Daphnia pulex: one gene and its partner. The main gene of each other region encodes a partner of the protein of the gene in region 2 in a complex. Links are inferred from orthologs where the notes say so. Each region holds a gene or a part of one and is shown on either strand. Other genes may lie near its edges.

What was found.
Region 1: CXXC-type zinc finger protein 1-like (region 2) and WD repeat-containing protein 82-like share a complex: the UniProt entries of both Drosophila melanogaster proteins name them as parts of the SET1 complex. The link is inferred for Daphnia pulex from reciprocal best matches to the Drosophila melanogaster genes Cfp1 and Wdr82.

The regions. Positions count from the first base shown.
Region 1 is NC_060027.1:1,885,538-1,896,685, forward strand, and holds WD repeat-containing protein 82-like, read right to left. Parts: upstream 5,484-11,148; 5' UTR 5,362-5,483; coding exon 5,183-5,361; intron 5,119-5,182; coding exon 5,021-5,118; intron 4,959-5,020; coding exon 4,892-4,958; intron 4,826-4,891; coding exon 4,609-4,825; intron 4,546-4,608; coding exon 4,390-4,545; intron 4,328-4,389; coding exon 4,208-4,327; intron 4,145-4,207; coding exon 4,052-4,144; intron 3,980-4,051; coding exon 3,947-3,979; 3' UTR 3,704-3,946; downstream 1-3,703. Other genes in the region: cleavage stimulation factor subunit 1-like, read left to right, coding at 1-185, 253-413, 471-621, 703-796, 862-993, 1,057-1,166; isopentenyl-diphosphate Delta-isomerase 1-like, read right to left, coding at 1,302-1,756, 1,813-2,051, 3,213-3,385; histone-arginine methyltransferase CARMER-like, read left to right, coding at 5,820-5,955, 6,081-6,206, 6,267-6,469, 6,533-6,649, 6,712-6,886, 6,943-7,033, 7,100-7,272, 7,348-7,570 and 4 more; uncharacterized protein LOC124207812, read right to left, coding at 9,383-9,526, 9,594-9,728, 9,814-9,925, 10,002-10,459, 10,533-10,619, 10,713-10,861, 11,012-11,148. UniProt on the Drosophila melanogaster protein: Component of the SET1 complex that specifically di- and trimethylates 'Lys-4' of histone H3.
Region 2 is NC_060019.1:1,598,194-1,609,749, reverse strand, and holds CXXC-type zinc finger protein 1-like, read left to right. Parts: upstream 1-4,840; 5' UTR 4,841-5,006; coding exon 5,007-5,012; intron 5,013-5,127; coding exon 5,128-5,264; intron 5,265-5,342; coding exon 5,343-5,386; intron 5,387-5,447; coding exon 5,448-5,494; intron 5,495-5,563; coding exon 5,564-5,812; intron 5,813-5,877; coding exon 5,878-6,039; intron 6,040-6,098; coding exon 6,099-6,230; intron 6,231-6,296; coding exon 6,297-6,401; intron 6,402-6,462; coding exon 6,463-6,600; intron 6,601-6,667; coding exon 6,668-6,803; intron 6,804-6,868; coding exon 6,869-7,053; intron 7,054-7,114; coding exon 7,115-7,486; 3' UTR 7,487-7,564; downstream 7,565-11,556. Other genes in the region: protein Star-like, read left to right, coding at 2,195-2,321, 2,387-2,556, 2,625-2,815, 2,893-3,109, 3,176-3,316; uncharacterized protein LOC124190992, read right to left, coding at 3,691-4,064, 4,141-4,398, 4,465-4,600, 4,676-4,777; uncharacterized protein LOC124190982, read right to left, coding at 8,025-8,497, 8,561-8,713, 8,783-10,127; uncharacterized protein LOC124190980, read right to left, coding at 11,265-11,556. UniProt on the Drosophila melanogaster protein: Component of the SET1 complex that specifically di- and trimethylates 'Lys-4' of histone H3. Essential for Set1 association with chromatin and trimethylation of histone H3 at 'Lys-4' at transcription puffs.

The DNA of each region.
Region 1 (11,148 bases), on a different chromosome or scaffold from region 2:
GAGAAATGGCAACTGATCAGCAAGGCCATCCTGTTATCAGAACTTTATATGACCACGTAGAAGAAGTGACCTGTCTGGAATTCCATCCTCGTGACGCCATTCTCGCATCTGGATCTCGCGATTGCACTGTTAAATTATTTGACTTCAGTAAAGCAGCGGCAAAGAAAGCTTTCAAAACACTATCAGTAACAAAAAAGCTTTTCTCGTGGCCCTTACAGTTCCTATTGAATTTTTATATGATTTGTTTAATAGGATTCAGATCAAATTCGTTGCATGGCTTTCCATCCTACCGGAGACTATTTGGTTGTTGGTACAAATCAGCCCGTTGTACGTCTGTATGACACCAACACCGCTCAATGCTACGTCTGTTCATTTCCGTCTCAGTATCACACCAACGCTATTACCTCACTTAAGTATTTATTAATTGGAAGAAAGCATTTGTTAAACAAATTATAATGTGTTTATCGTAGGTATTCTTTTGATGGCAAACTTTATGTATCCGGTTCTCGAGATGGTTCCATAAAACTCTGGGACGGAGTGTCTAACAAGTGTGTCGGTACCATTAGCCAAGCCCACGACGGTGCGGAAGTTGGATCTGTTACATTTTCTCGCAGTGGCAAAGTATTTACACTGTCGTTTCTTACCCATATTTATAACTGGTTTTAACTGTATGTCAATGTTTTTTTTTCTCTAATTAATCAGTATGTTCTTTCATCTGGCACGGATTCATCTGTTAAACTTTGGGAGCTCTCTTCACTACGCTGCATTATAGCCTACACTGGAGCTGGCACAATGGGTAAGATAATTATTACAAGTATGAGGCTTATATTCAATAATCAAACGTAATTATGGTTTATGAAGGCAAACAAGAGCACCGTGCTCAAGCTCTATTTAACCATTCGGAAGATTTTGTCATGTTCCCCGACGAGGCAACAACATCCTTGTGTTGTTGGGATGCTCGGACAGCTCAACGCAAACAGTTGTTGTCGCTTGGTAAGGAGGAAAAAATTCAATGGATAAAATAATTCATTTAATATCTTGTTGATATTTTTTTAGGTCACAATGGTGCGGTCCGTTACATTATCCATGCGCCTAGTACGGCGGCTTTTCTCACCTGCTCAGACGATTACCGCGCCAGGTTTTGGTACCGTCGCAACCCACATTAGATTAAGCTGTCAAATTGTACATGAATAATTGAATAAATGAGAAAAGCTACACTTTCATCTGAATAAATAATTTTGTTTCTTGTTTGGATTGAAACCGTATAGTTTCTACAAATGACGTCATTAACGTCAGTGCATTTAGAGGCTATGTATAACGGGGTCATACTCTATTCTTTCGAGATTATCTAATTGGTTCCACCATACTTTAAGATGGCTGTTGAGAATAAGTTTGAACCACGGTGTAAAGGGGATGTTATTCTTTTCGAGGTAGCCTTGAAATTCTTGAAAGCCGGATAGGGAGACGAAAACAACGCGGCTCACTTCGTTCGGGTTGGGTTTTACGGGAACGTCTTTCCTCAAAAACAGGATATAATCCACTTCATGTTCACCCCATTTGGCATCAGAAGGTGCACCATAAATGATTCTGGTGAGAATTTTAAAATCAGACAGCTCAATACTATCTGGACTGATGCCCAGTTCAATTTCAAGCCTTCTTCTAGCAGCTCTTCTGATCCCTACATGGTGAGCTTCTTCAGCTTCATCAGGTGTTGTATTATGTAACGGATGACTGCAACAGGAATTTGTATAATAACCTATTACAAATAACACATTTACTAGACTATAGTTACTTTGCTGTAGTCATACAAACCAGGAAAAGTAATTTTGTGATTGGATCTCTGTTGCATCAGTAGCTCATTTTTGGTATTAAAGAGAAAAACACTGAAGGCCCGATGAAGAGGTGGGAGTTGACCATCTGGACCAAGTAAATGAGCTGCTTCCTTTGATAAATTCCCAACTGCTCTATCATTAGTGTCGACGGAAATGCATTGCTCCTGAAGTAGGAGAGCTTGAGTAGGATCCATAGCTAGATGTTGGTTCATTCTGACACTAGAAAATGATGACAGTTCGTTTAACATAGACCAATTTGAAGCACGATTCAGAATAGAAGAAATCTTTCTGAGGACTTTCCCTGCCATTCGTTAAAATATCAACAGAAACGAATACCAAAGTGGCTAATAGAAAAAAAATACTGGGAAATGAGAACTAACAGAAAATCAAACTATCCCACGTGAGCGTAATGGTGAGACTGACTAACTGAGACGTCTGCTCTACAGTAATCAACTAATCAGAATCGGGATCACGGATTCACGATGTAGGATCTAGGATAATAGACAAGTTCGGGATGCTGAGTTGCACAACCGCAAAATTAGGATCGTGCGCCAACGAGTTTTTGTAACGTTGTGGGGATAGTAGAAAGCGGGTTTTTTATTATTTAAGCATAGAATTACTTATCTAATCTTAGAAATGTTCAGGATTATCGTTGTTTAGAACATTCTGCTTTTTATAGAGTAATTTGAAATGTATAATTCAGCTTAGTTTACCCATTAAAATTAAAGAAAGTCCAAGCCTGGGATGCTGTTTAGTCTTTTCTTGTGTTTTTTGACAGATCTGCTGACAAGTGACAAGCTCAAACACACAAGAAAAGACTAAACAGCATCCCAGGCTTGGACTTTCTTTAATTTTAATGGGTAAACTAAGCTGAATTATACATTTCAAATTACTCTATAAAAAGCAGAATGTTCTAAACAACGATAATCCTGAACATTTCTAAGATTAGATAAGTAATTCTATGCTTAAATAATAAAAAACCCGCTTTCTACTATCCCCACAACGTTACAAAAACTCGTTGGCGCACGATCCTAATTTTGCGGTTGTGCAACTCAGCATCCCGAACTTGTCTATAGTATCTCTTTTACAAAATAGTATCTCTTTTACAAAATAAACCCACTTTCCAAATTACTTTTTTTTAAAGCACAAGCTATATATTTATCTACTTTTTCGTAAACGAGTTTTCTGTATAATTTTATGAAACCTGAAAAATGACACCAGTTGGAAAGTAATAGCTACTGATCCAGTGATATGTGTCATTTAAAATTTTCGGAGAATTCCATTCGTTCTCTTTAATTAAGTCTTATGACTATAGTGGCAGAAACAATTATTTTTCAAATTAACTTTTATTAAATAACCGGAGAATTTTCAATTACTTACGAGTAGTGGCAAGGTTCGTTGTTAAATAAGTAAATTTCTCCATTTAGGCGCGACTTTATAAAGGCGCATTTCAAACAATCTAAAAAGTTTCTTTCATAACAAGAAAAATATAAAGGTTTTTTTCTAAAGATGAGAAACTTTGTCTTGATGACAGGGATAAATTTCCATACCATCTGGTGGCGTGGCAGGGTTAGCTAGGTCGTTCTTTTTTTAGAAAATTAGGACGTAACGAATGAAAGGTAAACTTTCAGAGAAATGTATGTGTGTATAAGGCACTAAGGCAGCCTAGTATTCGCTTGCTTTCTCAAATTCAAACCCCAGCAAGCGGGAACGTTGGTGACCCCATCTATAAATACATACAAAAACAACTTTGACTTACAGCACTCCTTATTTAATATCGGATATCAAGAAATATATGACACAATCGCATATGGTCTTTAATGATCCGCGTCAACCTTTGACATTTGTGCTACCTGCAGATAAAAATCGACCGGGTTCAAAAAAACATTTATTTATGCTTTATCATCAAGTTTTCATAAGAACACGGCCCAGTATCGCGATTGCCGATTGGCAAGTTCGACAGGAGCAAAAATTGAACTGCCACAGATACGAGCCAAACACAACTAAATTTCAGAATGATGGCTATGAAGAGCCCAAGGATGAGCTGGACAATGATAAACAATTAAGGATACGACTTTACATGTAACACTTTAATAAATTATGCTACTGTCGTTTTATGAATTGTCCTCCGAAGGAAGCCAAAAGGCCTAGAAAAAGCAAGCAGGAAAGGAGAAATATGCATTATTCAAAATGAAATGTTTTCAAAAATCTGTTCTTACCATGTTGTTGCATCCAGAGGCAAGCATCATATACTTGGGATTGAACTGAATACACTGCACTGGGCCGTTGTGATCAGCATTAAAAACGCATATCTGATCAGGAAATAGAAGTTCAACATTTATTGAATTTTAACATCTTTCATTTTGTTTTGCTACCTTATGACCCGATTCAGCATGCCAAACGTGAACTCGACCGTCCGTTGAACCGCTGAATACAAACTGGGAATCGGGACTGAATGACGCTTCGAGTGGAATTTTCTTATCGTTAAGATGACCCTGATAAAGTACAAAAATAAAATGAACACATGTTTTTTCTTAAATACTGAAAGGCTGCATACCGTCAATGTGTGGGTTGGGTTGCCGTGGAAAGCATCTACTAGTCGAATGATGCTACTGTTGGTCGAAAGAAGGATTGTTTTGCCATCTGGACTGAATTTTAATCCAGTCCATTCGCAAGTTTTCTCTGTATTAAGCCGGAACGAAGCAAAGGGACCCTTAAAATGAAACAAACCATGAATATAGACCAAAATAGAAAACTTTAACTAGACTATAAATACCTTGTCAAATGATCTAAGGTCATAGAGTTTCACACTCTCTGAATTAACTCCAGCAGCAAAAATGAGTCCTTCTGGATCAAATGCTGCAACAGGTCTACTTGTTAAATGCATTAGCCCCTGACAGTTTGGGGACCGAAGATCCCATAATCTCAAAGTTTTGTCCAATGAGCCAGACAGAAACATGTCATCCACAGGAGACATTGACAATGCTACTACCCTGATCAACATATAAAGATCGTTTTAGATTCCTGAAGTAATAATTATTTGGTATCACAGAACTTACTTTTTAGTGTGTCCGGGGAAATACCTAATGTATTTATTGTCATGCAATGATAAATATCTGATAGTGTCTATTGGGAAATAAAAGGTGTTTAAATGTTCATTGTGTTTAATTTGATTAAACAAGACCTACCATCAACTTTTGTTGATGCATGGATAGCCGTATTTTTGGCATGAGTGAAGTGTACCAGGTCAACACCATACTTTTTGCTGTTTACTGTCCGTTTTTGCCTGTGTGAAATTATAGAAAAATTGAAAACTATTCATTGGTATTGATAAAATTCTAATCACTTACGTTCCCTTTTCGCAGTCGTATATTACAATTTGATCATCTTCACTACTCGAAATAAGCGTATCTCCCGTAGGAGAAAAGTCTATGTTGTTGATCCGATCTGTGTTCTCCTTAAAAACTTTTGCAACCCTGAAACTTCGAACAACTGGCTCAGTCAGTTTCATCTCGCCTTTAATGTGCATTCAGTTCAATGTGATAGACAGCAAATTATTCGCAAAGGAAAAGGAAAATAAGAAACGAATCACTTTTTTGGCGGTGTCTTGTGGGTTCCTAGTTATTGTTTACAGTGGCGCTAATGCACTCAAGTGTGCGAAATGCATGTTGCAAGTTGCGCCGTTGCGCAATCTTGTTGAAGAAGTCTCGCTACGATAATGGATTATTGTAGTTAAAAAATCCATCTTAATTTATGCTAAATTTAAATCTTGTCTTAAAGTGATTAAACAAGAAAGTGGCAACTGGCAACGGAGAAAGAACGAGTCGACCGCGTGCGAAAATCTCTCTGATTTTTCCAGCTCTAGTGCAACTTGAGTAACGGTTTCATTACTGTCGTCTGTACTCGAGGGACGCGCAAAGAACTCGGCACTCGCTTTTTTTTTGCAGGCATTGCAGCTCATTTTAGTACCTATTCAATAGTGTAACAATGGCGGCTGACGCGTTCAGCGGTGTGATTGTCTCGTCCCTGTCAGACTCTGGTCAATCTAAGCCGAAATATGAAGAACCTGTCGTTTTGAAATCTTGCTACGATCCGAATGGAATCAGCATCACCGTTCAATCAGGTAGTGTTAACTATTGTCAATGATGACAGTTCGAAGCCAGACGACGGACATGTGTTCTGTTGTGGGAAATGTCAATTAGTAGAGCTCAAATTGCCATATATCTTAATACATTTTTTATGACACAGAAACCGGACGAGACCTATTTGAGTTTCCAGTCACAAGAACTTCAGAATACTCAAAAGTAGGCAAGAAAGGCTACCTGTTTGAATTTGACTATGAAACTATATTATTCACATTCAAAAATGACACAGGTCAGTTGCTTTCCTTTGTACTCCATTTCTGTTCGAATGTTAAAAGTTGTCTTTACATAGATGCATCCAATTTTCACAAGTCATTGGGCAAGTTACAGCTGGGCAAAGATTTGTCAGTATTCACAGAAAGAACAGAAGACTCTTCAGCCTCACAGTACTTTCAATTTTATGGATATTTATCTCAGCAGCAGAACATGATGCAGGACTACATACGAACAAGCACATACCAAAGAGCCATTCTATCCAACTTGGATGATTTTAGAGTAAGTCTCTTTGTTCATAACTGTTGAACTGTTTGAAACCTTATTAAGACAATTTATCTTTAGGATAAAGTAGTTCTAGATGTTGGAGCAGGATCTGGCATTCTGTCATTTTTTGCTGTCCAATCGGGAGCTTCTAAAGTGTATGCTGTTGAAGCATCTACCATGGCTCAACATGCTGAGGTAGTTCACAATTCATGCTCTCTAATTAACTGTCTAATAAATATTGCATTTTGTTTATGTAGTCTTTGGCAAAGTTCAATTCCCTTGAACAGATCCAAGTAGTGGCTGGCAAGATAGAAGAGATTGAATTACCAGAAAAAGTTGATATTATCATTTCTGAACCCATGGGCTACATGCTTTTCAATGAAAGAATGTTGGAAACGTTTCTTCACGCTAAGAAGTGGCTCAAGCCGGGCGGTAAGATTAGTCATGATTGCTTTCACTTGAATTTCAGTTACCAATTTTGTATCTAGGTAAAATGTTCCCCTCAAGAGGTGATCTGCACATAGCTCCCTTTAATGATGAAACCCTGTACATGGAACAATTTAATAAAGCCAACTTTTGGTAAAATCAATATTTTTCATGCGTTGCGAAATAATGTATATATAATCGGATAATTATCATTTCCAGGTACCAGCAAAGCTTCCACGGAGTCGACTTGAGTTGCTTGAGAGCGGCCGCTATGAAGGAATACTTTCGCCAACCCATTGTTGATACATTTGATATTCGAATTTGCACCGCCAAGTCCGTCAGGCACGTTGTAGACTTTCACACTGCGTCAGAATCCGATCTTCACCGAATGGGTATGTATTACTTTCATTGGTTTGTTGTGGTAGGTGTCAAGTTGCTGAAAGTATTTTTTTCTTCTTCGTTCTCAGATATCCCGCTCGAATTTCATGCCCTACAGTCTGGCTTAGTTCACGGGTTAGCCTTCTGGTTCGACGTGGCGTTCTTTGGCTCATCGACTTCTGTCTGGTTATCCACTGCACCCACTGAACCGTTGACTCACTGGTACCAAGTGCGCTGTTTGCTTGAAACTCCAATTTTCGTCAAGCAGGGTCAGCTGCTCACCGGAACCGTCCTACTTTTGGCCAACAAAAGGTTAGTCTCGAAACCCTCACTGTTATTTGCAAACTTGAAACTCAATTAACCCTTTCCTTTAGGCAAAGTTACGATGTTACGATTGATTTGCGAGTGGAGGGATCTGGTCTGACCAGCAGCAACACCCTCGACCTGAAAAATCCATACTTCCGTTATGCTGGACAACCGGCGCAGCCACCTCCGGGTCACAGCAGTGCATCACCTAGTGAAACCTACTGGGCCCAGCTCGACGTTCAAGGTGCGCGGCAAGGTAAGTGTGACCCGTTTTCTCGTACGTCGACACTTCAATGATGAAACACCACTTGCATCTGCTAAACGGTTTTTTATCATGTTCTCAGCTGTCACCATGGTCAACGGCATGACGGTCAACGGCCTCGGAGAAGTGTCTGCGATGAGCGACGTGACGGGCGTCAACAACTCTAATTCGTCGCTGCTGGGTCTGGGTAAGCAGCTCACCCACTACTTGATTTTAGGTACGCAACTTTTGCCACGTCTTTCCCGCTATGGATCATACCATCTCCTACAGCCCCTCCTTTTTTCTTTTCTTTGCTTTCCTCCAATTAAGGCCAGTTAAAAGTTGTTAAAAAGAGAAAGAGAGTTGGTAACTATTTGGTTTGACGTGTGGTTGCGAACGTGTCAAGTAACTTCCTCCTTTTTCTTTCTGTCTCCTTTCACTCGGATCTTCCCACTCGTCAGAAAATCAAGTCGGTGCGCGGGGAGGCAGACCTCAGGTAGCCAACACTTACCCAACGTCGCAAATTGGAGGCAACTCGTACACAACGGTACGTCATGCTAAATTTACGACCTGGACGTCCTGGACACAAAGGCAATAACTTTTATTGCTTTGAAACCCATTTTAGACGCAGCAGCTCGTATTGGGGGCCACATCCCATTACCCGTTGAGCAATAGTTTAATGATCGGCGATTACGTCACGCCCGGCAGCGTGATCTTGCCCTCCGCCGCTCATTTGGCCAACATGGATACCTTCCAGCCCTAGATAAACCGCGTTAAGAAGAATAATAACGAGTAAAACAGAAAAAAGAGAAAAAGAAACGTGACAACTCCGTTACCTGGGACAGCTCCGCTGGATGTGTCCGCAAGTACTTATCATCGTCTTTTTTTTCGCATTCCGCGTCGTTTCAAAACATTTTTCACGCGAAACCCACAAAAAACACATTCGCATCATGTTTTTTTTTTTGGTCTTATTTTGATTGGTAACTGTCGTCCCTACATTTCTCTTAATTCCTGTAGTATTTTGTTTTCCAATCATCCTTCGGTCCTTTGTTCCACACTATTTTCTCCGAGAAAGGAGAATGGGTCTTTTTCTTGGTTTTTTATTTTATACCGCCGACTTGCGACTGTCTCCACCCGTTTGTTTGCTTTCACATTCAACAAAACCACATTATCCTCTTCAGCCACTCACAAGGAAATCTGTTCATTTTCTTTGACGAATAAAATCAAAGGGTTGTGCAGCCTTTTCGAAAGCAATTTTATTTGTTTCCTCTCAATAGAAACGAAGCGGTATGTATGATACACTCTGCAGGAAATGAAGGTAGAAAATTCAGATTGTAATCGGCATTAAAAAAAAAAAATTAATTTTTTCTTTGTGGAGGAAACCGCCCACCTCTACCGAGTACGATGTTCATATTTCGATTGTATAATAATCCATCTTTAAACAAAGGGAAATTGGGCGCGGACGGGTAAAGACCAGCACGAATCGATTCTTAGCTTTTCTTAAATATATACTTAAAAATTGAAATGGGATTTTGAAAACAAAAAAACCAACAGGGCGAAACTATTTTAGAAATGTTTTAAGGCTTCCATTTACGGACACTGTCGGGGCCGTTAGTTCGCCATTCGTCTCGGCTGATTTTCGATTGCTCGTAGGTCGACGAGTTACTCAAAACACAAGCGCCCAGGTAGGCGGCGTGGTAGCGATACGGCGAAGCGTGGACCTGTGTCAATGAGTGGTTTACAATTTAAGTACAGTCCAACATACAAATGGAATGGGCCCAATATTACTTTTGGAATGAGATGCGATGGAGTGATTCGATCTATTTCAGCCTCGAGCCGTTCGGGAAAGTTGGGCAGTAGGGTGACGCCGCCGCTTAGAAAGATACTGCGCACCATTTCTTTACGAATGTCCACACTGCAATCCTGTTTCGGTTGAACAATTTAGAAATAGTTGGAAATCGTCTCTTTTAACTACGTTTTGTTTCATTTTTTTTATATTTTTATTTACTTGGATGGCCTTGTGAACGAGTTTTTGAATTCCGGGATTGTCCAAACCCCAAGCCTCGGGATGGAAAAGACCTTCGGTTACTTGGAAACGACCCAGTTCCAGTGAAATTTCACTAATCATTAACAAGAAAAGGAAGACATTGTTATCCAGAAATAGTTTACATAGCAAGAAAACGTTTCTAAACTTACTCCCAGGGAAGTTGGCCGTTGCTGAAAGGTTTCAAATCGACGGAATCCCTGACAGAGGATGGATCACTCTTTGCTTTATTCAGTTCGGCGTTGTAGGAATTAGTGTCCGGCCCGGCCACGTAAGCCAGTTTCTCCAGGACGTGACGGATCAGGTAAGATTCCACGTCGGTGAAAAGGGAGCAGCGTTGCTGGACGAGGAAATGGCGCAAGTGATCGACCAATTGCTGGCCTCCGTACGGCACCTGCGAAGCGCTCGACTCCAACATGTAACCGTCCATGATGGGCACGATGTCGATCCTCTCCCCGATGTCGACAACAATTCCCGACGTGGAATTGTACGACAACATGCTCAACACGGATTGGTGGGTCAGATTGACCGACTGAAGACCAAAATCGTCGAATAAAACGCGGACCAATTCCGCTTGAGTGGCGTGGTTCAGATGTTTCGGTACGCTCACCTGTAAAAATACATTTTAAGTGGAATCGTTAAAAAATTTGACGACTTTCAAATGGATGCGGCTAGTCATTAACCTGAATTCCGTAAGAGGATGGCTCAATGTTCAGCTGTTTGAAAGCCATGCGGATGAGACCGGCCACTCCTTCCATATCGAGCATAAACTATTAACATAAATTAGAGTTTAATTGCATCATTCGGTGTGGTGGATCTAAATTGTTTTTGTTCTAACACAAAAAAACAAAACAAAAACATACCTTGGAGATTTTGGGTGAACGCAATGGATGGGCGAGTGTGCTATTGGCCCTCACATCGGGCAGAACGGCCTGAGCACCGAAAGCCACATAGTGACCGCTCGTCTTGTCGATGGCCGCCACCGACGGGAAGAACACCTGAGGTAGAGTGGCTACTCACGAACAAGGAAAAAGGAAACAAAAAATAAAAATATTTTTTTCACTATTCCACCCGCACTCTCACCAAGTCGTGATTGATTGCGTGAACGCATTATAATTAGATTTAGCTAACAACAGCAACAACAAAAGAAAAGAAGAATTACCCTGAGTGGAGAGAATGCCAGCTCTAACGGACGATGAGCCCAAATCGAGAACGACAATGTCCTTGAATAGTTTCGGTTCCTTAGGGATGGCTTGCGGTCGGACGTAAGCGTGAAGCAGAGAGTTTCCCTTGTAGTTG
Region 2 (11,556 bases):
TATTCATGACCTTTCCATCGAAATCGTGATAATCTTTCGCCCAAACGGAGAAAATGTTTTTGGCGATCTGAATGAGGTCGTGATAACCAAACAGACATTTTAATTTAGAATTCGTTCACCATAAATAATCGGCCCACATATTTCAAAAACGGACATAGCAACGGCGGTATTTAGAAAGCCGAAAAGTAAAAAAAAGGCGCAGTTGTTATTATTTTGTCTGTCCTTCAAACAGGCGTGTAGTCGAAGAAGAAAAGAGCGCTATACATCCCTGACAGATCTTCGGTCGCTAGGGAGAAATTTTACGAGATCGGCACTTTTGTTTCAACAGAGAGAGGAGGCATTATGCTGATTCACTTTCCCAACAAGTCGAACGACGAGTTCTTGCCAAAATTTTAAAAAAGTTGTAACACCGGCTTACTCTCTCCTCCGCTTCTATCCACATACGTCGAAGAATGTTGATCACCACACAGGCTCAACACAGCCATGTGGTAATAATCAGTGTAGCGTAAACGCCTTTTTTTCTTTTTACCATCACGTTGGTTGCTGTAACCCCCCGGTGAAAAATTCTCGGGTTGAACAAACTGTCTAACTCGACAAGCAATGACCGCGCACCGGCCGGTGCTTCATCAACGAATATTTATTATGTTGATAGCCTCAAGTCACTTTTCAAAGAATAAAAAAAAATAAAAAATGAAAGATTGATATACACACTTTTGATTTTAATGACATTGTGCATTCAAATCAGGTCGGTCACGTTCTCGTTCTTTTCCGAGAGAGCAAAAAAATTTCGTTTTGCTTTACAAGGAATGACAGTAGAAATTTCGAAATAGGTACAATTTCTGTTGAATAAAAAAAAAATGACGATCACATTATGATCGCTTTATATTTTTGAAAAAAAGGAGCCCTGTGGCGTTGTTTCAACAATCGTGCTGCAATACAACACCAGAACCACTTTTGAGTCTAGTGATTCGAATTTTATTTTTCCTTAATGTAGCCAACCATGATCGTTCAATCACCCCATTTAATAAGAGAAAGAAGTTATTTTAAGAAATGGTTGCGGTAATGATCTGAATCTCCTCCTCTTAAAAATTAAGGAGACTATGGAAATCGCTTTTTTAGTTTTATTTGGTCGAATCGGAAGATCGAACGTAAACAATGGAGAACCAGTTTGATGAATTTTGATCGAAATCGACGAGCGTAAATAAAACCCAATTTCACACGTGTAAATGTTTTCTCTAGTTAATCCTAAAAGATACGATTATTTCGCAAACACATTATTATCAAAAACAATGTGAATAAAGATATAAAATACTCCATCCGTATTTTATTGCTACTAAGTTGCAATTAACTGCAATTTTGTTTTTATAGAGTTTTCGATTAGCGTGACCAAAGTTTTCTTTTATATATTGTTAAAACAACTAGCATTTAAGTTTTTTATTTGTTTATTTGGCAATAATTGGTTCTCCAACAATTTTTCCAGAATTTTTATTTCAAAACTTGGCGACGCCTTCTGTGCTGCAAGTCCGCCCCTCTTTTGGTTGTTGAGGAACAACTTAGTACACACTGGTTTTGCGGGCCGTAGTCGACGTACTCTACCGCGAAGCAATTGTCACTTTCACTCGGGCTCAGTTTGTTGCTTTGTATCTCATATTCTGTATTAATGTTTGTTCTTTAGAAAGCTCACCTGTAAAACAGTTCTTGTGTGCCACTGTACGTTATGAGTCGAGTCCAATACGTTCTCTGTACATAGGCACACACACACACGTATCTCGTTCAGTAGTACCTGTCTTTATGTGTGTGTGTGTATCATATTTCTGCTCCAAGGTATCAATCGTTTTGTGATTCAACTATCGAGAGTGTAATGTTCAGTTGGCGATAAAAGTGAAGTCTACGTAAAGAAATTTTTTTTTCAGCAGCTGGGCTGTTGATGGAGATCCGTCTGCCAATTTTCGCTCGTCGTAAGAGAAACTTTCTCTCTAATAAGTGTTACCCTCTCCGCACCTGTGTATTTCGTGCTATGCATTAATCCAATGAAGACTCTGCTGTGGTGTTTAATTATCACTTTTAACTTTAAATAAGGAATGCATTTTAGCTAACTGACATTTCTAGCTTGTCATCACGTTCAAGTGCAATAACAACTCTGCAAAAGTTTATTAATCCGTTACTGCCCAGGTGTCAAACCTTTTCTCTCGAAATGAGTCCAGTTCTCAAGCGACCTGTTGTGTTGTTCATGGGGGTGTGTTTTGCCTGTGTGATATTGATATACTACCAGTCCAGTCATTCCCAAGGAAAACCTCACTATAGTGGGGTATGCAATACAGGTGTTGTAATGTGTCACTCATTTATTAAAGATGAATTCAAACTAATTCTCGTTTCAAATTTTCAGAAAATGTGAATTCAGCAGTTATGGATCAAGATGACCCCTGCATATTAAGTTTACTGCGTGGCCAATACTTACACCCTCCATCTAAAAATAAGCTTAGTCTTGAAGCACCAGAGGTTCCAAATCCTTCCATGGGGCAAGCTCAAAGTATACTTGAAATCTTGAAAAATAAGGTACAATAACAGTTTATCACGAAAGGTTGTTCGCATGTTTCAATGTTTATTGTACTGTTGCCCAACAGGAGAATGGCTTTTTTGTGGAATGTGGTGCCTTGGATGGCGAACTTCGTTCAAACACTTTGTTTATGGAACGAAATTTAGGTTGGGAAGGCGTTTTGATTGAAGCCGACCCCAAAAACTTCTTGAAAGTTCAAGAGAAAAATCGTCGAGCATGGACTGTTCCTGCTTGCCTTAGTACCTCCTCCAGTCCTAAGTAAATATTGACACACTTTTTACAAGCTTGACAAGCACTTTAATAATGAGCCTTTCATATTTGTTTGTTGTATGCAGAACTGTAGTATTCAAACAGGCTTTCAATCAAGGAAGAATCTCTCAAAACCAACTCGACGATCAGAATCGAGTGGGAAGCGTCCAAGTCCAATGCTTCCCAATATATTCTATCCTTGCAGCCCTCAACCGAACTGAAGTAGACTACTTCAGTTTAGATATTGAAGGCGACGAATTAGCTGTTCTGAAAACCATACCGTGGAATAATGTCAGAATTCAGGTATACTTTAAAAGCAAAATATATTTCATGTAGATATTTATTAACAATTGTTTATTACGTTTGTAGACCCTGTCAGTCGAGTTTATCCATGACAAAGAGGGTAAAGACCAGATTAGGGAATATATGACGTTGCAGGGCTATGAAGTGGTCAAAGAAGTCACCGACCCAAATTGGCTCGCAAACGATTTCATTTTTAACAAAATTTAGCCTTGAATCTAGCGTTATTGGCTGTTTCACGAGCGATCGGATATGCATCCCCCAAGCTGCTAGAGTGTTACCACATTTTTACTGAGCAAGCAACAAATTAGCTCTGGCATTTTTCCAAAGAAAAGCCGAAAGCTTCCTGGATGGAACAAAAACTCTGTTGTTTCCTCACTCCTGCCCAATTAGAAGACTAATGTTTTTTCCAAACAGTTTTATTATCATTCTTCAAAGTTGGCCAATATAGTTCATATACAAAAATTGCTTTCCTTGGTTTTCTTTCAACGTGCTCTTAGTCCAGCGAAACAGCCGAAGCGTAAACAACAAAGAGATAGCATATAAAATGGATCGATTGTGCTTTTTTTTTGAAATTACACTAATCACATACTCAAGTACTTGACAAAATTGGGCATAGGATCATCTTTACCGATAAACGCAAAATGTGGATTTAACTCTTCAATCTTCTTCTCGATAGACAGATTAGAAAATAACTCATCGTAGTTGTAGCCGCAAATTGTCTGGTGGTTCCACGCTTTTTCAATACGTTCGTCGACCGTTAACGAACTCTGACGGTAATTGACTTCAGACGTAGGAGCAGCAATGGTCATTTGCTCAAACGCTAATTTTCTGCCAGGAAACGTTTTCAAATTCTTTAAATGACTTTTTCCATTCAAATGATCCTGCATGGGTATAGGGCCTGAGCAAGTAAAGTCAACACAAACTTTACATTTGTATGATCCATCAGGTTGCAACACTGAAAATAAAGCAAATAAATGTTACAGCTAATGCAATTTTTTCTGGTGACTTGTGTGGAGTGAATAAGACTTTACATGCTGAAGACACATCGGCTAATGCAATTGGTAAGGAACCACTATTCATTGCTGGTGGAGAGTGAACTAGAGGAGCAGTTGGTTGCCGTTGACCATAAAGAGGTGACTTGACAGCTGTGTTAAACTGAGTGGACTCTTTGCCACGCTGGACGTTTTTCAAATGCTTTTTTCCTATCAAATGCTGCTCAAAAGGTATGTGACCACAACACTCGAAATCATCACAGCTTTTACATTTGAAATTTCCATTGGGCAAGACAACTATGTAAAAAAAATGAACATATTGAATGCTGGTATCAAAACACACAATATAAATTGAATTTATACTTGCTGCTGACATGTCAACTGCTAGGGGCTGATTCATTGTAACAGCTCTCATATGCTTCCCACCAATTACATGGGCATCCCACTGAGATTTTGAGTTCATTTGGACCTTACAATGAGCACAATAAAACTCGGCCATCTTTTCACGACAGTAAATGGTCAATAAATAATTAAAAGGTAAATTAAACTAAGCTATTTGCTAACTGCTTTTTACCTTTATACGTAAGTGAAAAACAGGATTCTGAGTACAATAACGTGGTGTTGTTATCAAATGCAAATATTGTGAATTGTTGACAATTGAACCATCGACTGCCATCTACCAGCGATCAAATAAGCTAGTACGATTTTAATAGCAGTTCCCTATCTCCTCGCCAGTTAGCACTCAGCTCAGCTTGTTGACAGATCACAATTCGACAACAAGGAAAGAAAGACACTTTTTAAAAAGAGTTGAATCCGCACGTTATTGAATCAAATTTCGCTAGTATCAAGAACTTTTAGTAATTCACCGTTTCAAGTTGTTTGATTATCTAACCTACCTCCTAAAAATGTCGGTAAGTGAACTACGTGTATATTTAGGCCTACGTGTTCAGTACTGTTACCTTCATTCTGTTATGAACAACTTTTGAATAGGAGTTAAAAGTCATTCTTTTTTTTTTAAATCTATAGAAAGATTACATATCAAAACACCATACATTGCCGGAGAGGCAATCTAAAATTGACCTTATGATGAGGCAAGAAGAACATGGTCTTGAAGAACAACTTTACTGCATCTGCCGTAGTTCTGATGCTAGTAGATTTATGATGTAAGTCTTCTAGAAACTAAATCTAGTTTTTTTCATTTTAAAAATATATTTTATGCATCAAATTTTCTATTTATTCAGTGGTTGTGACTATTGTGAAGATTGGTATCATGGAGACTGCATAGGTATATTGTATATCTGAACATAACTAAATAATGTAATTGGAACATGCTTAAATTTGACTAGATATTACTGAGGAAGAGTCCCGCTTCATAAAAAAGTTCTTCTGTCCAGTAATGCATTGATTTTTTATTTCTGTATTTTGCTATTTTATTTTTAAAAAATGTATGATTAATTTTTAGAAATGTAGACAAAGGGATCCCAGTTTGACAATCAAGTACAAACAAAAGAAATTAGAACAGGCAGGAAAGGAAGAGGCAGCAAAAAAAGCAAAGAAACGACAGGAAAAGAAGGAATCTACTCCACAATATCCCCATTGTGGTGAATGTATCGCTTGTTATCGAGTAGATAACTGTAACAAGTGTGACGCCTGTAAAGGGAAATCTCGTCAACAATGTAAATATCGAGTCTGTCTTACCTTCGCCCCAAAGGTATTACTCAATTTTAAAAATTTTACGCATAAAATAATTACTAAAAATGCATTAAATATTTACAGCAGAAGAAAGTCGAGATAAAATCTGAAGAAGATGAGCCTGTGGTAAAACCTGTCCTGAAAGAAGCAAACTATTCCGACGATGACGTCTGGGAGCCAAGTCTTCGGAAAGAGAAACCTCCTGTTCCAGCCCCTAAACCATCTCGACATTCAACCAATAAAAAGGTGTTTTATTTTTACTTCACTTCCAATTTCATTCCCTTTAACTAAAATTTCTGTTCCAGGAAAAAACAAAGGGGAGATACCGTTCCTCTGCGACTACTGGGGAACATCGCCGCAGAAAGAGAATTACGTCGTCGACAGATTCTGGAGGTGAAAGCGAAGTTGAAAAATCTCCGGCTCGGAATAAACAAAAAGTAAAGCATACTATTTCTTAAATGGTTTTATGTGGTAATTTATTGTTATTATCAACACAATTTCAGGTTATCCACTGTTATGGTCCCCAATGCATCAACGCTTCCCGACCTGGAAGTAAATATTGCAGTGACCAATGTGGTCTCAAATTGGCTACTACTCGTATTTATCAGGTTAGTTATTTTAATAGTTTTGTAAATAAAAAAACCGTGGGAAAATGTCGTTTTCGTACAGATTTTGCCTCAACGCATTCAAGAGTGGGGCTTAACACCTTGTATAGCCGAAGAGAAGAACAAGAAAGAGTTGGAACAAATTCGTAAACAGCAAACCGATGCCCGTGAAGCTTTGGAAGAACTAGATCTCAAACAAAAGGTTGAGTTTTATCATAGTGTTAAGTTTACTGGCATGTATCTAAAAGATTATGTTGATACCAATGCAGGAATTGGACGTAATAACAGCAAAGGCGAAAAAATTTACAGTAGACATAAACTCTGACGATGAAGCAGATGAAGGTGGAGACGGCGAAACGGAATCGGCCACTGTTCAGTGCGTTACTTGCGGCATCGGTGTTACACGTAAGTAAATGATCATTGGATAGTTAGGGTCAAAAATCATATTCCTTTTTAATATACTTGTTTAGAAACCAATGCCATTCGGCACATGGAGCGATGTTTCAACAAATACGAAAGTCAAACTTCGTTTGGTTCAATCTTCCAAACGAAGATAGAAGGCAACAACATGTTTTGCGACTTTTACAATCCAAATAACCGAACTTACTGCAAACGACTTCGTGTTCTATGTCCGGAGCATTGTAAAGATCCCAAGGTAATTTTCTCAAGATATATTAAGTTCGAATCTATGAAGTGTGACGTCTCCTTTTGTATAGGTCAATGACACTGATGTATGCGGGTATCCGTCGGTACGGAACGTCTTTGATGAAACTGGCGAATTCTGCTTGATTCAGAAGAAAAAGTGCGTCAAGCACAACAATTGGGAGAAGCTAAGAAGAGCCGAGATTGACATGGAAAGAGTTCGCCAGTGGCTGAAACTCGATGAACTATTCGAAAAAGAACGTCAAATCCGAACTGCCATGGCGCAGCGCGCTGGACTTTTACCGCTCATACTTCATTCAACTTTCAATCATGAATTAATGCAACAACAGCAGCAACAGTACGCTGGTCAAACTGGTGTTACCTCGGACAGCTCTGAGGCCTATGCAGCAGCCAATAAAAAACTTGCCATGGAAGACGATACTTAAGGTTGATTTTGTTTACATCATGTGAGGAATATCTCCGAACCTATTGTGGTGATAATAAATTTCATTGATTGATTGTTACTGCGATTTGATATTCAATTTCTAATTTGTAGTTTAATTCTCGGTTTATAGGCCTACTCATGACATTTATTTAAAACAAATTTCATGCCACTTTTTTAAGCTTTTCCCGTCATTGCCAATGGCATTTTCATGTGGCAACCACGCATGTTATTCGCAGCAGCAGGAAGAGGGAAAGGGTTATTTACTTATTTTGGAATTTTAGTCTTTTGTGTGGTTTGACACCTGAAAAGTGAATCTGAAATGGATGCACAATGACATATTTTTATTTTAAACTTGTGACTTTTTTTTAAGCTAACTTTAGCCAACATATTTGGTAAGCAGCACGATCTATTTTCTTACAGCATATTCTTAGAGATTTTGTCTGAGCCGGTTGTCCACTTAGATTATTTAATTTATAGAAATTGTTTTCTGCATTAGTAAATTCAGCCTCCATTTTGCTTCCACTTGCAGTTTAACTTAATTATAATGTAAGATTCCCATATGTTTCAACAATATTTTCCTGTAAGAGAAAGCCATTAAAGTTATTGAAATAATCTCCACGTATGCCCCCTCCTGATGTTGACATGCTAAAAATCTGCAACCATATTTCATCCCCTCTTTTCAAATTGAGTGTCGATTGTAAGGATAGCATCTCAGATTGACTACTCTCATCAGAATGACCAGCTCCCATTAATTCATCATTTTTATATAATCCCATATTGATAAACTGATATGTTGAACCAAATACCATCACTCCTGAAAAGGAAAAGAAATAAGTTCCTGATACAGGGGCTGTAAATTTTCCTGTCTCCAAGTTCATGGCTCCTCCTGTGTTTAGTCTTTCCACTTCGAAAGGAATAGGAATATTTTTTTTCCCAAACTTGGTTTTTCTCTGCACGAAGAAATAAGTTGGCGATGACTTGACGTCTAAAAATCCAATCAATTTCTGGAAATCTGCAAAGGTTGACTCAAATAAATAGATCCGTAATTTGATTATAATATAATTGAGCTTTATACCCGCATCACTGGAAAGCTTTGTAAAGTTGCAATAGACGCTTTTAACCGTTTGAGCTCCCATAATCGAATACAATCCGCTATGGGTGTGTCCGATCCTCCGAAGATCGTCGCAAGATCTAGGTATTTTGTCGAAGTTCTCTGCGCTTGTTTTTCCTGTTCATTTGGATCGCAACATACTTGATAGGTTTTTATTGAGATGCATTTAGCATTACCATTTCTTACCTAATAATCCTTTTGTCAGATTGGCTACGCTGAGCTTGAGACTGTGCCATTCGTCTGTGACTGTCATGTCAGCATTTTGGGCGAAATTCATAGGGATCGACAGGGCGGCGGCGGTGTAACGGATAGACACTTTACGATATTGCAGCGATAGTTGGTCTCTTAACTGTGCCAGTTTAAATCTATTGAGCGACAGCAGTTTGGGAATGAATTTATCACTAGCCCAGATGACGTGGTCTTTACTTTCTCGATAAAATGTTTCGATACCCTCCTTCGTCGTTGAGCCGTGACGGTATAATTCGTTAGTAGAGTTTGCTTCATCTGCAAATAACTCGATGAACTTTGCCACTTCGCCGTCTATTTTATCTGCATGGTGATACAACCTCCGCAACTTTTCTTGTCCTTCCGTGTTCATTTTTTCAAAAATTTTGTTCAACGTGTCCGAAGTTTTATCCGGTCGGTAAAAGTCGTCTGTCCAAAAGACCAAGTCCCAATCGCTTTGATCCTTAATGGTGGCCGTGGAAGAGAAGAGCAAGTTGTTCAACGAGTTATAAACAACCCGTCCCGAGTGAGGTGAAACGATATCCGAGTCCTTGAAAGTATCCATCAAGACATTAGTTGTCGTTTCTGCTAAAAGTTGCTTCTCGTCATTGGCAGTCAGGAAAACTTCTTTTGTGTCTTGACTGAATCTTCGCTGTAGTTTGTTAACCATTTGACTCGAAATGACATTTTCCATGCGGATGACTGTGTCCTTAGTTTCCGTAGTCTGACACGTCCAACTGAAGAGAAATTTTAAATAGTTGAACTGTTCGGGTTTGGAGCGCATGTCTTGAGCGAGTTGGTCGCAAACATTTCGTTCGAAACACGAAAGAGAAAATGGCAGTGATTTGTGGAATTCAAAAGGCAGCCAATTGGTGGTTAAAGAATCAGCTTTTGGTGGTATTGTACTGACGAGTACCACCTTCTCGAAGGGTATCACTTGCACTTGATGAGGTTGAACTTCGTGATCGACTACTTTGCTTAAATACTTCACCACTTCGCTTTCGACGATATCGTTCCACATTTCAATGCGGAATCGAATCTCCTGGAGCATCGTGATGTTGTTGAATTGACTGACGGCACTTTGGTGATCTAGCAGGGCGATGGGAGCGTAGAAAAACTTGTTGTTGCTTTGGTCACTTTTGTTATTGCTTGCGTGTTGGTAAATGTTCACTCGAAAACTGCCGTAGGGCATAGAGCAAAGTTCAGTAGGAGATATTTGCAGTTTAGTCCATGGCGAAATTTTGGAAGTGTTGGATGGGCAGACATTCACCAGTACCAAAATCGAGACGAATAACGTAGTCCACATTTTAGTCGTGTGTGCGAATTCTTCTTTATTTTGAAATTTCCAAGATTTAAAAAAGCAATTAAAAGTCGAATGGGATGTTAAATGGAGCACGATGGAGCACGAAATAATCAGTTACTGTCGTTGAGAACGGTCAAGTTTCAACTGTTCCCTGTTGTTGACTGTGTCTATACTGAATAGGGTCACGCCGCTAGGTTTCCGCTCATCATTCAAAATATTTAATGGGAGTTTCTCCTTTCTAAATATTTTATTTGGTGTGAATCATAATTTTTTTTTTAAATATTGCAAGTTAAATATGTCATTTATGTCATTTTTGTGTCAAATGTTTAGATACTCTCACTTTCAATTTAGTGAGTAGTATTCTGGGAAGCAATCAATAACAACACTGCTGCGGGGGAGACTGATGAAGCATATATATGAGAACAGAGTTGTTACATTCACGTAGCCACCAGTCCCGCCACGATGTTATACATCTTCCCATCCAGGTAAAAATATTTAACTTGTTTAATTTAAATTCCAGTATTAATCAATGTTTCAGTTTCATTATAGAAGAAAGGACATCTATCTGGTGGCATAAGACATGCAACTATTTCCTAGATTTCCTATTACGAGGGGAACATCAACAACGTCATCGCAGGTCTTCTTAATGTAAGTGCTTGCATTCACTGCCCTTTCGATCGTCATGTAACTTTCCTTCCTTTAGTTTATTGGAAAAAGGAATAAGATTAGTGAATTATTTGCATAACAGTTTTATCCATTCTTCTCTCAGTCAATTAAATGATTGATTACATTTCTATCTACTCGAGTATCCATTCTTGTGACTATTTTAAATTCATCCAGATAGGAATCTACTTGAAAAACTTGTTTAGTAATGAAACTCGTCAATTGATATTAGATTTTAACTTTTTATCTAAAGAATTTAAATAGTGAAAGGATAAAAGCGTTTTGATTATCTGATTTCCGAAATTAACAGCGAATGTAGTGCGTACGAAAGGCAACTTTTCAATCCAAATGAGTCATTAAGAAAAATAATAGACCCCAAAACCTAATACGTTTATTTGCAACGCAATTTCTCTCATATAGTTTATTCTACAGCGGTTCACTAAGTAAACAATAAAAGTTTCATTTATTTCAATCAAGCTACTTGTGTTTCCTTTTCGTTGCTCTAGACGAAGAACCGCTATGTGGATTTTCTTTTCTTTTATCTCCTTTACTCAAAATTCCAACGATGTCCATCAAGTTTTCTTTCTTGTAAACTTTACACAAGATTTGGAGGGCGTTGCCGTCGTTGGAGGGGTTGCAATGAACTTCGATTCCGTTCTCAATCAAAAGTTCGATTATGTCCTGCAAATTTTCGTGGTTATAATTGCGACGTAAGACAGGAAGAGCGTTGTATCCGTAATCGTGAATGCAATTGATTTCGACTTTCTGT